2 linked regions of the Caenorhabditis elegans genome follow. The protein of the gene in region 1 interacts with the protein of each later gene in a biochemical or structural test. Each region holds a gene or a part of one and is shown on either strand. Other genes may lie near its edges.

Region 1 (5,885 bases):
TCCGGGAACTTCATTCAAAAGATCCAAAAGTCGATTGACATCAGGTAAATGGGAGAAAAACTCGAGATCATAGGTCCCGTCTTCAGAGAAAAGATCTGCTTTTGACAGACAGTTTACTTGTGGCATCTCCATTGTTACCATTGTCGCTGAAATTGAAGCTTTTTAATGAATATAATTTTAATTTGTTCCTTTCAGCCACACAAAATTTAAAGTGGTTCCGAATTTCAATTTTTTCCATCTAAAATCAAATAAATAACAAAAATAGGTTTCAGATTAAATGAAAGTTTTATGTGCCAGAAAGATATTGCATTTCTTAGCCAGAAATACATAAAGGCCCATGGAGTTTCAAAATTGTACAGAACAAAAATAAATTTTCATTTTTTGGAGGAAATCAGCTGAATTATATTTGGAAATTTCGGGTCGAGAGACAAGAAAAGTATTTCAATTTTTTTTTAATCTTAATGAACTCTTACCTAATGTGGATAATGCAACAGAAATGAATTTCGATGGGTCACTGCAGTAAAGTGAATCGGCAAGATGTAAGGCACATAGTCTAACACCGGATTTTTCCAAAAAGCGGATAACTTTCCATAGTTCGCCTTCGCTTTTGTATAGTTCCAACTGTCCGGGACAATCAATTATCAGATATTTCTTGTGATTCGCTTCGATTTTCTGAAAAAAGATTTAATTGAATATTAAAACTACAAAGAGGTTAAAAATGATTTCCGATTTTCTCGATTCAAATTTAGAGAATTCCAGATTTTAGCTCAATTGTTGTGAAAACAATTTTTAGCTTTTGAGAATTAACTTTTTCTGCCAAAAAAATTACCTGGAGGAGCCAATTACAATTAGCTCCAAGTGTTTCAATACAGTATTTGAGAGCTCCATTTGGTCCAAGTCCAAGTCGATCCATTACATCATTCACAGTGATCATTTCCTAAACTTTAGTATTTTAAATGAAAAATATGACCTTAAGTATTAAAATAACATTGATAGATGATCTGTACCACGTTTCATAATTATTGTCCTATATTCATTGGAATAAAATACTTACAGTGATATTTACATCAGGTGCGTATGCCATTGTGTCATTAGCAGGATCAAGATTGATAGTGAGAAATGGTCGTTTGGTTTGTGAGAAAATGTCCGTTAATCCTGCACAAAATGTAGATTTTCCAGCTCCAGGAGCTCCAATTACAAGAACTCCGTACATAGTCCAATGAGTACTGAAATTTTCTAGTTGAATCTTAATTTTCTACGGATTGTTTTGATAGGAAAACATTTAAGAAGAACAAAAATATATAAATACAATTTAATTTAATTTAAAACAAACAAAAAAGCAGGATAAACGGGCCTGGCACAGGGCCAAGTACGCATTTACACCGTACATGACGACATATTGCGGACCATTGCATTTTGCCGCGTTAATTTTTTATTTAAACGGCTTGCATTTCTCCTTACTATCCAGCTGACAATTTTTAGTTTCTTTAGAATTATTTGCAATCAAAACTCGTTTTTTGTAAACATATTTACTCAGGTAATGTGTTGATTTCTCACTTTTTTTTGAAATCAAAGCAGAATTAGTCCTATTTTTATTCTACATAAATATCTAAATGTATTCAATTAAAAATTGGGCCATTGAACTTCTAATTAATTCAATTTATAAATTTATCGTGATGTTTTCTTTTAGTTAATTTGTCCTTAATCGTGCCGTCTATTTTATTTCTTCATAAAAAACTTTTCAGTTCCGACATGGAGAATAAGCCACCTGTAATCAACCTTCCAGAGAAGGAAACTGTGAATACTCCACAGAAGGGAGGGTAAGAAATCAAGGTTTTAAAAGTTTATAAATTATTCTTGATTTTACAGAAAATTTACTATTAACGATTTCGAGATCGGAAGACCACTGGGAAAAGGAAAATTCGGCAGTGTTTACCTGGCTCGCACAAAAACTGGACATTTCCATGTAGCGATCAAGGTAACATATTGATTTATTTTGTATTTATTTGAATTATCATTTTTCTGACATCCGTTTTACCCATACATATTTTCAGGTTCTATTCAAATCGCAACTCATCTCAGGAGGCGTCGAGCATCAATTGGAGCGTGAAATTGAGATTCAATCTCATTTGAATCACCCGAATATTATCAAGCTCTACACATATTTTTGGGATGCGAAGAAGATCTATCTCGTTTTGGAATATGCCCCCGGAGGCGAAATGTACAAGCAATTGACAGTGAGCAAGAGATTCTCAGAGCCAACAGCTGCAAAATATATGTATGAGATCGCAGATGCTTTGTCATATTGCCACAGGAAAAATGTGATTCATCGCGACATTAAACCGGAGAATTTGCTTATCGGATCACAAGGAGAATTGAAAATTGGAGATTTTGGATGGAGTGTTCATGCTCCTTCGAATAAGTGAGTTTATCCTCAAATTTAGGAAATCTAGATGTTTCCAAAAATTCACTGTCATGTTTTCAGGCGCCAAACAATGTGCGGAACAATGGACTATCTCCCTCCTGAAATGGTGAATGGAGCCGATCACAGTGACGCAGTTGACTTATGGGCAATCGGCGTTCTCTGCTATGAGTTTCTCGTTGGAAAACCCCCATTCGAGCACGAAGATCAGTCCAAGACATATGCGGCAATCAAAGCGGCACGGTTTACTTACCCTGATTCTGTGAAGAAGGGTGCACGAGATTTGATTGGAAGATTGCTTGTCGTTGATCCCAAGGCTCGCTGTACGCTTGAACAGGTTTGTTATTGATTTCAGCTTAGTGGCCAACATATTATCAGCACACAGAAGTACACTTTTGTAGTGTTCTTAATTATCATAATTCATTAAATTATTACAGGTGAAGGAACACTACTGGATCCAGGGAATGATGGAGGCAAAAATTAGAGCTGAGAAGCAGCAAAAGATTGAAAAAGAAGCAAGTCTTCGGAATCACTGATCAACTACTGATTTTCCCGTCCTTCTTTCAATCATCTCGTCTGTCTGTCAAATAAAGGATCTCATCACATTTACTAGAAATTTTAAAAAGTGAAATAACTTGTCAACCAATTTTTCATGTAGTTTTTGTTTCGCGAACTCTATTATTCCCAATCGTCTAACCCCATTCATTCAACATAAATTTATTTTCTTTTCTCGTTCTCCATCTTTCTCAATATATCTACAACAACTCAATTAGTACCTCCCGAGATTTTCTCCTTTTTCAGATGTCGCGTAGACTCGCACTCGGAGCAGCTGCTTCTTTTCGTTGAGGTTCATTTGCATTTTTAGATTTTTGAGAAAAAAAAAAAAATAAAATTTAAAAGCGACAAGAAAATTTCGATTTTCTTTAGGATTATTTTATCACACCGTGCGACTTTATAGTCCCAAAAGGAAAAATAACAACTAAGCTTAGTACTGAGTACACTTGAAATTTCAAAACATGAGGTTTTTGAAATTCACGTGCTCCAACAATTTCAAGCACTTCTTGTGCCCTTTTTAAGTCCTCGAAAACTTATAATTTTTTCAGTAAGTGGTGCGGGGACATTTTCAAAAAGTTGTTTTTCTCAAACAAAGCATATTTCACAAGATGTCATTCTGGACAACAAAAAATTAAATTAAATTTTTAAATTACAGGGAACTTTTACCGATTAAGCGCGGGCGGTGTAATTATAGGTTTCGATGATGTGGTACTTTGGCTATAATTTAGTTATACAACTAGAATTTTCTAATTTTTTTATTTTCTTTCGAGATTTCTGAGAACACATTTTTATTTGAGAACTCATGCTAATTGCTGAACCGTTTTCTCCGATTTCTTCAAAAATCTCACATTTTTTGTCTGATTAAGAAAATTAAAGTTTCATTTTTCACTTGTGAATAACGCATCTTTTGAAATCAGAATGCAATCGCGCTCCAACGCCAAATAGAAAGACTCCGCCCCGATAATTTGGGTCTCGTTAGGTATTTGCGGAAAATACGTAAATGTATTATTTTTCCAAAATTTTCATTCAGTTTCGTTGATTTCACTCGTTTTCAATCATTTTTTCGTGAAATTTTGTTGTTCATTTTATTATAGCAAAATATAGCCAAAAATAGCCAAAAATTCGAAAATTCTATTAAACTAGGGTAATCGACGAAAATAGCCAAAAGTATGACTGGCGGAGCACTCTGATTCCAATGTTTGTGAACCTTATGATTTTTCAATTAATGAACCTGAAATTTCGACGTACTTAGCTAACTGAATAATCAATTAAAAATAGTCCAAGTAGTGACGTCTCACTTTTTTTCGAATGCGGATATTGAAAAATCAGCTGCTGCCGAATCGACAATCATCGATCTCCTAACACTCTTCTTACCTGAAACTTCTTGAGTCACGGTTATTTTCAACAAAAAATGATTTTTTTATGTGTTGGTTTCTGCGTTTATTCGTATTTGGAACTATGTAGAAGTCAAGTACGAACATGCAAAAACACGATACATAACCAAGATATGGGCGGAGTCTAATACATGCATCACACAATTGTTAGAAAAACAATTTTGATAATAAGTATTTTCTTAAAATATGCTCCTCCCATATCTTGCCTTTTTTTTTGGTGTTTCATTTTCTGAATTTTTTTGTACTTTTCTTTTTTCTCATTATACAAGATGTACGAAATAATAACTATCTTCGAGTAAATGATTATTTGAACTTTTAATTTTTATTCCTCTCTTCGTCTTCTTCTTCTTTTCTTCCTTCCGCTCCAAAGAATACTCACACCACATATCAGCATATTTTGTCGTTTTCCTTGTCTAGTTAAGACATTCATCTCGCTTTCATATTTCTCCGCTTCTTTTCATTTAACAGGTGCAATATTTTTTTTTTTCTATTAACAATAAGATTTTTTTTTCAATTTTTATTATTTCAACAAATAGGCATGTACCAACTTTGGCTGAATTGAAACTTTTAAAAGTTATTTTTCATTAAAAACTTTTTTTTAAAAAATCAATTTTTTACTTTGTTTGCCTATTCTGAACTGCCGAGAATTTTTTTATTTCCGAATAATAATTGGATTACGGTTACAAAACAGAGTTTTTATGACACGCCCGCGAAAAAAATCGAAGGTGAGTTTTCTTTCCTTGGTGTTTTTTTTTACTTTTTATATTTGCTTATTTCAAAGTCTGTAGAAATAATCCAAAGCGAAATTTATTGAAGACCATGATTTCTAGAAAAACACAATAATACTTTTTGTAGGGCAGATTTTTTGTTTTGAAATTGATTTCTACGCTGATCCATATTTGAGTAGAGGTCTATCAAAAACATTTATCACTTTAGATATCTCACTTTTCTCATAAAACTTTTTCTAAAAAATTACAATTCAATTGAAAATCAAATCACAAAAACTCAGAGTTTGGATTTTTGGTTCATACAAGTTGCAATTATTATATACATTTCCTATAAATTAACTTGTAGCCTTATCCATACTATAAACAATGTTTGTTTCTTTAAACACTTCACACTAACTTTTCTGATCGTTCTATAAATCTCGCAATTTCTTTCCAATTTTTCTTTCACATCTTTCTCTCATTTTTCAGAATATTTCTGTTTCCAATCCCAAAAACACAACACCCCTCTATGTCTCCATTTGGCGAGAACATAATTGAGTGACGCAAAGAAATTGGAAAATTGCCAATTGGATGTAGAGAAAACGAGAATGAGATACAGAATGGTGGCTTGAAAATAGGTGGAATTACTCACGGAGAGTAACAGAGTTGTGTTTTATGCACTTTCAGAAAATAAAAATGATACTGGTCTTCAAATTTTTTAAGTAAATTTTCGAATTTCTGCTGCATATTCCCCATTAAAAGTTGCATGATTTTGGGAGTATTTTTTGGGAGTATTTCGAAGCTGTA
Region 2 (10,169 bases), 3.2 Mb from region 1:
GTGCAATTTCCGACCCAGAAATACGGTACGCGGTCTGCCCGTGTTCAAGGATTACTGTAGTCTCTCGCTCCACATGTTTTTCTCGTTTACTTGAATTTCCCCCATTTTCCTCACGTTTCGCCCTGTTGTCGAAGTGGAGTGCAACACTACAGTACTCTTTAAAGGTCTTCCCCGTGCATCTCATTTGGTATGCCGATCGTGTCGAGACCGTTTACCGTAATTTTGCATTAGAGCGTTGTTTTATTTCGAAATTTTTGTGATTCAAGACATAAAACTTCCTCTCCGACATTCCACGTATTGCTCCTCTTCTTTTTTTTTAAATTTATCTCTGCAAACGTGCTCAATTGTTAATTTTCGATGGAGCCCGTATGCATAAAGACAAAAATCCAAAAAATTTTGATATTTTCATGTTCTGAAGAAAAAAACATAAAATGCGGGTATTCTTCTCTCATTTTTTATTTGTTTTTATTTTTCCTATATTTATTTTATTTTTCATTCTTTCATTTTTGTCTCTCTCTCTTGTGATTTCTCCCTGTATTTTTCCCCCTAGTCTTCTCACTGATTCGGTAGTTTTTTCTCTCAAAAATGTTCCCATTTCGCCACCCCGGTCTAATTATTATAATTGATTATTTGTTCTTTAAAACAAATATGTATAAATAAATCGATTCATTGGAGAACAAATGCATCCATTTAAATGGAAAAAAATATGGTATCAGGAAAGCCGCATGGCCTAGATTCTTACAATTTCTAGGCCACTTGTGCATTTTCACGGCTGTGGAAAAACATCGGATGAAATGGATGGAAAACTAGAAACACGATTTGGGGGCTCGATTTGAAAATTAAAACATATTGAACAAAAATCACGGAGAGAAATGTGAGATATTTGATTGGGTCGGTTGAAGTTCCGAACATTAAATTAAAGCCAAATTAACTCAAAAAAAAAACAAAAGAATGAGATTAAGCAGTATGATTGGAAATCAATCAATTCTGACGATACTGCTGCTGCGGGTATTGTGGAGGATAATATGCAAATGCACCACCTGAAACTTTGAATATTGAAAATCTAATTTTTAAATAAAAATCTAAAATTAGTGGATTGTGTTTTTCAATTGTATTTAAAAGATTGCATACAGGATACTCAGCTTCATTTAACAAAAACATTACCGTCACAAAATTCTAGTTAAAGTTCATCGAATCAGCCGTATAATGCAGACAAATATAACTTACTAGACTAAAGCACAAGCAGGATTCTGTTAAAAATTGTAAATCGTGGATATGGGTAAAAGATGCACATAAATCAAATGAACTAGACGGCACAAAAAATACAATTCATGCATTAATTCCGTGAGCCACGTGGATTGCGCATAGTGACTCCTGAGTGATCGATCATCAGGTGTCCATTTACCAAAAGTCGAGATGCATTTGCTTGTATTTCAGCCATGGAAAGAATTCGTGGTGGTTGGATGTTATTGGTGTCACCTGAAAGTGAGGCCAAACCAAGTAAGGGAAATAAATATATATTTGCATGCAGGATGGTTGCAATTACACAACAAGTTTACTCGCTATTAACTGAAGATCGTGAAGTGATTGTTTTGATGTTTAAACATAATATACAAAAACTTTGTAAGGTGTACAAAAAATTACCGTTTGACATTTGCTGTTGAGCATAAAAAGACGGAGACATGATTTGTGGTGACTGCTGCTGCTGTTGTTGCTGCTGAAGATGGTGCTGCTGCATATGAACCATTTGATTGTTTCGCCCTATGAGCCCGTTTTGCATTTGGAAGTGTGGTGCCTGGTTTATCATTGGCTGAAAACGAGAGTTCAATTTTTAAAAAATTTTGAAAAATATTTGTTAAGTTTATAATTCCAGACGTAAAACTAGTGCATTTTTTTCAATTCGACAGAATTCTAGTGCAGTGGACAATCATCTAAGTATCTTATCCAATTAATAGGGGCTTGAACAAAGAAAAAAAAGAGATTAAAACAGGATTTTTTTGTTCTGTCGTTATGAAAAAATATCACTAGAGTATTAGTGCGTGTGGTAGACTATTAACACGTGCTGGCATACCGAATATCCGTATTGTGATGTAGGTGTTTGAGATCCTGAAGAGGGATTCATATAAGATGATTGAGCAAAATTCAATGGATGTGTCGTATGGTGAAGTTGAACAAGCGGAGATGATTGTGTTGATGAATTTGCTGACTGCTGCAACAAACAGACAGTTTAGTGAGTGTGGACAGGGAGAAGCAGATGTTAGTTTAACAATATCATATAATAATATAATCAAATATATAATTCAATCTTTGTATTAGTTTTGGTTAAAAACGGATAAGTTATAACTAGAATACTGATTTCAGTCAAATTAAGAACAAATCCTCTTAAAACTATGGAAAATAACTAACAATATTGGCTCTTTTGAAGATTTGTGTTTTTCTGAACTTACTTCTCCTATTTTGTTCAGCGCATCCCGGATAGTTTTACTTGCACCCTCGTTCATTCCCATTTGCGTTGAGGCCATTCCAGATGGAGATGAGCCAACTGGCATTTGATTCTGTTGAGACATCTGACGCATTGGAAGATTTGCACTTGCAGCTACTGGACGAGGTGGTGTATCATCGAGAGTAATAATCTCTATGTCATCGTCTTTCGTCTTCTTTTTCTGCTGTGGTGGTGTCTTTTGAGCAGCCAATTCTGCGGAAGCTGAAATAAGATTTGAATTTCAAGTGAATACTTTTAATTGATATTGCTAGAAACTGCAATATTCTCAGCTTGTCTCACACCACGCCATTTGAATAGCAAACCTGTGTGTCTGCCAGGAGAGAAGCTGTCGTTCAGAGAGTTCATTATACCTCTGTTCAATTCCTCATCATCGTCATCACTCAAGGTAATTATGTCGTCGTCAGCTGGTTTTTTCTTCGCTGCTTCATTTGCAAGTCCATTGCCATTTGTCGAAGAGCATGACGCTGTACCGTTAACAGTAGCAGGTACAACGTCATCGTCGTCATCATCTGAGATGCAAAAAGCTTCTTCCTTGATAACATCGTACGAGCCATCTTCCTTAAGTTCAACTTCCGTCGTATTCTTATCCACCTTTGCAAGCATATCGAGGAAATAACTGAAAGATGAAACAATATTTGCATAGTCTCAGAACATTGCTTTTTATTTTGATATTTGAATATTTCTTAAATAAAATGTTGAATTGGGTAACGTCTAAGCAGTTTCTCAGGCATTTCCGTGACTAAAAAGTATTTTCCAATTAAGAAAACGAGCGAATAGTGCGAACAGACAGCTTCACACAAAACTGCATGAAGTTAGCCATCGAATTTGTTGTTTGTCCATGATGCACTGTTCACAATATGAATCTGGATCATGGTAAACATAAGAGTGAGAACACTATTTGGATTATTAATTGATTGAGAATTATTTACAGGGATTTTGAATTTCTGAATAATAATAATTTTCAATTACACATTAAAACTCTTGCTCAATTATGATGATTGACCTTTGCCATTTGTTTCATGTTCTCTTACGTCATGAGCTGAATTTTGAGTTGGAGACCAATACGAACTACTGATAATAATCGTAGACTATATTTGCAAATACATGCCTATTTTAGACGACGCGTTTCCGAATTTCCTAATCACCGTTTCATCATGGCTATTTTAAGGGTGTTGTCCATCGCTATAGATAACAATTGTGTTTGGAAAAATAATAGTGTCTTCACAAGAATTGGAAATTTCGAAGTGAGGGAACGGTATCTAAGAGTTAATAGAAAAATAATGAAAACATAGAATTGAGATAATTCGCTTTTTTTTAAAATCAAAGTTAGTCAGTGTGAATTGAAAACTTACTCATCAACAATAAGTCTATCATATGGGCAGTTACTCGAGCAAACAGGGCACTGCCACGTTGGTTTCTTCTCGTTCATCATCAAATATGAGAGGAGATCAAAACATTGCAAATGGGTACAATCTTGGCATCTAGAAGGCGTTGTCATTCTTGTCTTGCACAGTGGATCAAGAAGACTGATATTAAGACGATCCATAGCAATATCATCTTCACCTCCAGACAGTTTCTTGATCACTTCTTGCTTGGTAACCTCAAGTGATCGATGTCTTGATACATTCTGATTAAGACGTTTAAAGAGAATATCCGAGTTAACACGATGAACGAAATAAACTCCAGCTGCCCATACACGTTTGTCGGCTAACCATTCGACTGCAACTGTGTGCTCTTTCTTGTATCTATTCATGTTTGAAGTGATATTCACTGGACGAGATGGTCGTTTCGGCTCAGCATTTGTCTTATTTGTTGGGATTACATTCTGAAATTTGAAGAAATAGTAACTCCTAACAATAATTGATATTTTGAAATTAAATATATTTCGTGAACGTTTCAAATCTCATACCGGCAATTGAACGACAGAATCATCAACACGTGCGTAGCAATTGAGTGGAAAGTCGTCTTTTTGAGGACCCTGAACTGGTTCAGTAAGATTGAAGAACCTGAAAACAAGGATTTAAACCGATTTCAATGATAATAAAACGTACCTCAACTGCAATTCATATCGTGGAAGAGGTGTAACATCAGCTCGATACGAAATCTTGGAGATGTGCTCAGCAGTCAATAAGAACGGGAATTGTAACTGAAATTAGTAATTAATAGGTAACCGGCTTGGAGAGCGAGTAAATTGAGACCAACCTGTTTTGTTTGCTTCAAAGTTGGACTGTCTGATGAATGCAGCTCGACAGGCTTCAGCAAAACAGAAATAACATCGTAGAATGGAAGTGGAAGCGGTTCAAAATTATCAGCATACATTTTTTTCGGCTGAAAAAAAAATACATGGGTTAGACATGTGGGAATGTAAGAAAGAGACGCTGAAAGCAATTTTCAGGTGATAACATTGAACTCGTGTGAGCGAACTGTATAACACATGCCGCGCAATTTCTAATGATGCCTGCTTTTTGGTAGTAAAAAAACACTTTTACATGCTACTACGAACTAATTGGAAATAAAACTATTTGAAAATTGAGCACGGCAATATGAAGAAATGCCTAGAGAGGATTATCATATTAAGCTTTTCTTCATGAACATGCTCCTAAGAATGCCATACTGTAATATCTTAAAACCACACTTGTTCTAGTTTTTACGCCATTCGGAATCATGCAGAAAATTTCGTGATAACAGCGTGCAAATCTTGGAGCTTCGAATTTTTCTTTCTTTTTTTTGAATGCTACACGCAATTCAAAAAAGTGCATTCAATAAACGGTAGGACATTTGTTTGCATAATGTATCACGATTGAGGAATTTTCAAATAACCGCGACTGGCCAATATGATATATGTGCCCAGAAGAAGCTACCAGTGTAATTTTTTCAGGTAAATTTTCCGTTACGGTCATAAACCGAAAGTATATCTTCACATGCTTTCCGCCTCGATATTCTTGCGTTCATTCTTATCGTGAATTTCAGGCAATAAAAATGCGGCGAAAATGTTCACCCTATTTGATTTTTCCGACTTCTGCAAACTTTGCTGAGAAGAACGTCCATGATTAGGAAAAGATGAATGGAGCGGCGCGTTGGTAGCAGCAGCAGCAGCGGGAGCGCCGTATCTCATCGAGCCCCTCAGTTGCTCTTCGAGCAGTTCAGGAGTTAGCCATCTCACCGTCGACGGATGGTGCTGCTGTTGCAGATGTGAATGATGTGACGCCATCATTTGTTGATGAAGTAGATTGTGAGGCTGTGGTTGTTGTTGTTGTTGCTGCTGATAATGATGATTGACCAAGTGATTACTAGCTCCAGATCGAGATGGCAGCACATATGGATGAGACCGAACTTGGGATGTTGTTGCAGGTCGCTTCTGCATCTGACATTTTTTAATTTAGTTATTAAAACAGAAACGATTTACAAACAATTTTTTAGGCTCTAACTTTAAATATGTGGAATATTTTAGACAATTAGAACATTTGCAAAAATACATTTGGGAATAAAAAACAAAGCGGAAGAGATTTTTTGAACGTTTGTTTCTCAATAGAGCGCACATGTCATCAGGAGAGGTGCTTGCGAAGAAATGATATATATTGATAAACCTAGCCGTTTTTTTGGAGTTTTGATAACAGGACTTTCTTAAAATTTAGTAAAATTTCAATAATAAGCCAACTAAAAATTCGATTGATTTAAATAGTTACGCGCATTCGAATCAACTGTTGTGAAATAACAACAAAAAAAAAAACGATTCCCAGTTTCTCACGAGCGACATCGTGCCAATTCGCTTCCATATCGATTTTTCAAAGTGAAACAATTATTAAAAAACTCAAATACCTCTTTAGGAGTGAAAATTTGAATTTGATTTTCAAAAAAGTGTGACAGTATTCAAAAGAATCAATCTAGTAAAATAAAAATTGTAATGAAAAACTACGCGCCAAGCTACACGTATGAAACATGGAAAGAAGGTCAGGGCAAAGTACAACTAAGAAATTTTCGAAGATCCACTGCTTTTGAGGTTTTTAACACCTTATTACGGGCGAAAGTCCCGTTGCCGGAGCTGCGAGGAAGCAAGTGCAGAATGGATGAAATATTTGAGGAAACTTAGAGAAACAAAGGGCTACATATATGGTGGGTATGAGGATGCTAGTGGAGATAAATGCGAGACTTATTGTGTGAGTAAAGAGACAATACTAGGTGAATGAATAATTTCCTCCGAGGTAGAACACTGGTAAACGTTACCCAAAGTACCTCACACATCTATTTAATCAAAGTTGACATAGTTTTTTTTTAACTGAAAGTATTTAACTTTTTCATACTTACCTCATAATTTCCGTTCGGGAAATTGGAAGCCTGTAAACTCGAGAAAATTAATGCTGTAAAACATCATTTAAAAAAAAACATAAATAAAATAACGAGAAAAACAAATGACCATTTGATAAATTTGCCGAGCATGATGAGGATCACGCAAGGATTCAACGACGACCTTCTGATGCTCCGATTTTTGTGGACGTGGCTTTCGAAGTGACAATTGCGAGATAATCGACTGAAATTCATAAATTCTTGATTCACATCGCCTTCTCGTTGAGGTATTGAACAATAAAGATTGATTAAAAACGGTATCTAACCTGAAGATCGTGTACTCTCAATTTCATGACGGCTGCCTGAAAATTTGGAATCCATCAGTTTTACTTTTTGAAAAATAACAGATTGGAACAGAAAAATCCTTGGGTAAAATACAAGAATTTTAAACTATTTAATAAATGTCAATAATTTTCCAATAACTCACGTGTGCTGCCATATTTTCCTGATGTGTTAATCCATTGTTTATAGGTATTTGCCATTGATTATTCGGTAACATATTGATTTCAATACCTCCGATCCTCCGCTGTGTCTCGAAACGACGGAAAAATATAAAACTGCAGATTCGGAAAAGGGATATTAAGGCGAATTTGAATGGTCCAGTAGTGAAAATATCACAAACAAAAAGTAGAAAAATGTGATCTTTTCTATTCCCTAAAAAGCGTTTCGAAAAGCGCGGTTCCGTGTGGATTTCCCAATTTTGGAAGTTAATGGACCAAAATCGCGCAAAAAACACGGGCACACCTGATGAATCAGTTTTGCAAAATCCTGCAAAAAATATTTCAACGTACTCACGTTAACTCATTCAGGAAATCAATGAGATCAATGTGTACGATAGGTTTGTGCCCGTGACAAAGGATCAGCAATTTTCAGAAGAGGCGCCAGAAAATTTGTGTTTTTGAATTTGCGCAATACAATTTTCAATCCACACAGACTTTTTTTGTATTATTTTCAATCCAAAAACCAAATCCAAAAAAAAAAACTTGGCGGCGCTATAAAGTGCGTCGTGATCTCCTTTCAAATCACTATATAAAAATTCACAGACTTTGTGAAAATATGAATAAATAAATAAAAAGAGAACCACAAAGGGTCGGCGTTGTTAACCGTTCCAAAGAAAATGAGAGAAAAAAATAGAACTTTAAAAAAATGTTATCGACTTTTTTTCAACCAAAAAAAACATGAGGTAAAAATAGACACTATTCGAAAAAAAAAGTAAACCGCAGAAAAAAACGAACGAAACTATCGATATCAGATCTAGAAAAAAGAAAATGGAGAAAAGGTGGAGAAACACAAAAAATGAATGAAGTGGGGCTTACTCGTACAAAATGACCATTTTTCTGCGAATTTTTTCACAGTTCTCCAACTTTCTCGTACTTTCTTTTCGCCTCGTGTTCTGTTTAGCGTCTGTACCAAAGTTGAGCTTCTCGCTTACGCTTGATCTTCTTTTGAAGTTGGAGAACTCCGTATAGAAGAGCCTGGAATAATTTTTTATATTAAAATTATTTTCTTTATTAGACGAAACATATTTTCAGAAAAGACTGCAGGCTAGGAATATTTTTAAAGCTATTCAGATAATTTCACTAATTTAAAATGTATTAGAAATTCGCTGATACAGTCAGAATGTGATAAAGTATTTCGAAGAGCTAAAGATTTAAACAAAACACCAAGTTGTTGTTGCATTAGATACGGCAAAATATTCATTAGTGAATGCTTGAGAAACTAAGCAGAAATAGAGAAATAAAGACTCAATGGTATGCAAGAGAGCGTAGACAACACAAGACTTTCGCGCCAATTCGATCAATAATTGAGTACACATGCACCCACGTATTTTCGAAATATTTACAATCGGTCGTGGAGCGCGATTACATCATGCCGTCCTTAGCCCACCATTCTTAAATTGGGAAATTTTTTTCAAAAATCTTTTTCGGAAAAACCCGAAAAAAACAGTTTTGATAATGATGGGGTGTCGAGATTATAGTGAGGTACATATTATGACGTCATAGAATTATTAAAATTCATTTTTGAACATAGCAACACGCTTTTCTTGGAATATTTTCAGACATTAACTGAAACAAATTGTTACTCAATTAATGGAAAATGAGCCTGCACGAGATCTGGACACTCATTATCCTTAATTGAGCAGTCAGATTTTGAGTGCGTTTTTTGTGTAACAGGTGGACCAAATAAATATGGATAATGAGAGAAAATGAATTAGCTGTGGTGTGCTGATACGATAACGTGAGATCTAATACTGACATCAAGCCAGCCACTAAACAAACTCTAGACTCTCCAAAAAAGATTCAAAACTCAAGGTATTTTTGAAAATGAGGCAAACTTAAAAGCGATCATAAAAATTCGACACATACCTCAGCAGTTGGTGGGCATCCTGGTACATAAATGTCCACTGGAATCACACGATCACATCCACGAAGTACAGAATATGCGTAATGATAATATCCTCCTCCGTTTGCACATGATCCCATTGAAATAACCCATTTTGCTTCTGGCATTTGATCATATATGCGGCGAAGTGCAGGTGCCATTTTGTTGGTTACTGTACCGGCAACGAAAATCAAATCGGCCTGAAATATTTTGATAAATAGATAGAATAAATTTTGAAAACGCATACACTGAGAGACTGAAAACTAAATTTTGTCATGACAACGATATCATTTTTTTTCTTGTTGACCAGAGAATGATGCTATGGAGTTGATATTTAGGGGTGCGAGTTTTGAGAAATAATTGCCAAATTAATTCTAGAACTTGGAAAATATGAATTTTAAGACTACATTTTGTTGTTGATGGGAAAATTTCAACTCAAAAATTTAATTTTACACAATTTTTATTTCAAAATGATCAGTATAGCTAACCTGTCTGGGAGAGGCTCTGAAAACGACTCCGTACCGATCCATATCATATCTTGGCGCAGCGAAGTGCATCATTTCGACAGCACAACATGCGAGACCGAACGTCAGTGGCCAAATTGAACCTCTTTGAGCCAAATTCAGGACATCATCAAGACGAGCCAACGCGTACTCGGCTTTAGACGATGGATTCAGGAATGGAGTTCCTGAAATTACAAAATGATTTCAATTAAATAAAATAAAAGACATTCTGAGCTTAGAAGAATTTTGATCCGATGAAAGAGGGATTCCTAAAAATTTAATTAATTTTAGTTTTCCCGCATTTTTAAAAAATATTTTTTCTTGGTGTACTATGAAATACACAATAAAAATTAAACTTTTTCCCAATCAACAATGGTAATTCAAAATTTTTTTCTTGATCAAGAGACAATCTTGGTGTTATGAATGAATCATAACTC

What was found. Proteins that work in one complex are often made in the same cells at the same time.
Region 2: of the proteins of air-2 (region 1) and gei-17, one has a biochemical effect on the other in vitro, tested with the Caenorhabditis elegans proteins (2 studies listed by BioGRID).

The regions. Positions count from the first base shown.
Region 1 is NC_003279.8:5,935,732-5,941,616, forward strand, and holds air-2 (Aurora/IPL1-related protein kinase 2), read left to right. Parts: upstream 1-1,745; 5' UTR 1,746-1,752; coding exon 1,753-1,820; intron 1,821-1,869; coding exon 1,870-1,978; intron 1,979-2,054; coding exon 2,055-2,422; intron 2,423-2,485; coding exon 2,486-2,759; intron 2,760-2,859; coding exon 2,860-2,958; 3' UTR 2,959-3,145; downstream 3,146-5,885. Other genes in the region: B0207.6 (GPN-loop GTPase 2), read right to left, coding at 1-146, 474-672, 830-937, 1,055-1,213. UniProt on the Caenorhabditis elegans protein: Serine/threonine-protein kinase component of the chromosomal passenger complex (CPC), a complex that acts as a key regulator of chromosome segregation and cytokinesis.
Region 2 is NC_003279.8:9,100,194-9,110,362, forward strand, and holds gei-17 (E3 SUMO-protein ligase gei-17), read right to left. Parts: upstream 7,390-10,169; 5' UTR 7,347-7,389; coding exon 7,275-7,346; intron 7,150-7,274; coding exon 7,114-7,149; intron 7,032-7,113; coding exon 6,918-7,031; intron 6,839-6,917; coding exon 6,809-6,838; exon of another isoform or gene 6,795-6,808; intron 6,505-6,794; exon of another isoform or gene 6,407-6,504; intron 6,127-6,406; exon of another isoform or gene 5,914-6,126; intron 5,868-5,913; coding exon 5,502-5,867; intron 4,832-5,501; coding exon 4,706-4,831; intron 4,650-4,705; coding exon 4,555-4,649; intron 4,510-4,554; coding exon 4,413-4,509; intron 4,329-4,412; coding exon 3,856-4,328; intron 3,120-3,855; coding exon 2,806-3,119; intron 2,705-2,805; coding exon 2,448-2,704; intron 2,210-2,447; coding exon 2,072-2,209; intron 1,811-2,071; coding exon 1,645-1,810; intron 1,480-1,644; coding exon of another isoform or gene 1,337-1,479; exon of another isoform or gene 1,130-1,336; intron 1,041-1,129; coding exon 982-1,040; 3' UTR 653-981; downstream 1-652. Other genes in the region: nduf-7 (putative NADH dehydrogenase [ubiquinone] iron-sulfur protein 7, mitochondrial), read right to left, coding at 8,245-8,322, 9,214-9,429, 9,718-9,917. UniProt on the Caenorhabditis elegans protein: Functions as an E3-type smo-1 ligase. Mediates smo-1 conjugation to air-2 in vitro and is required for proper chromosome alignment.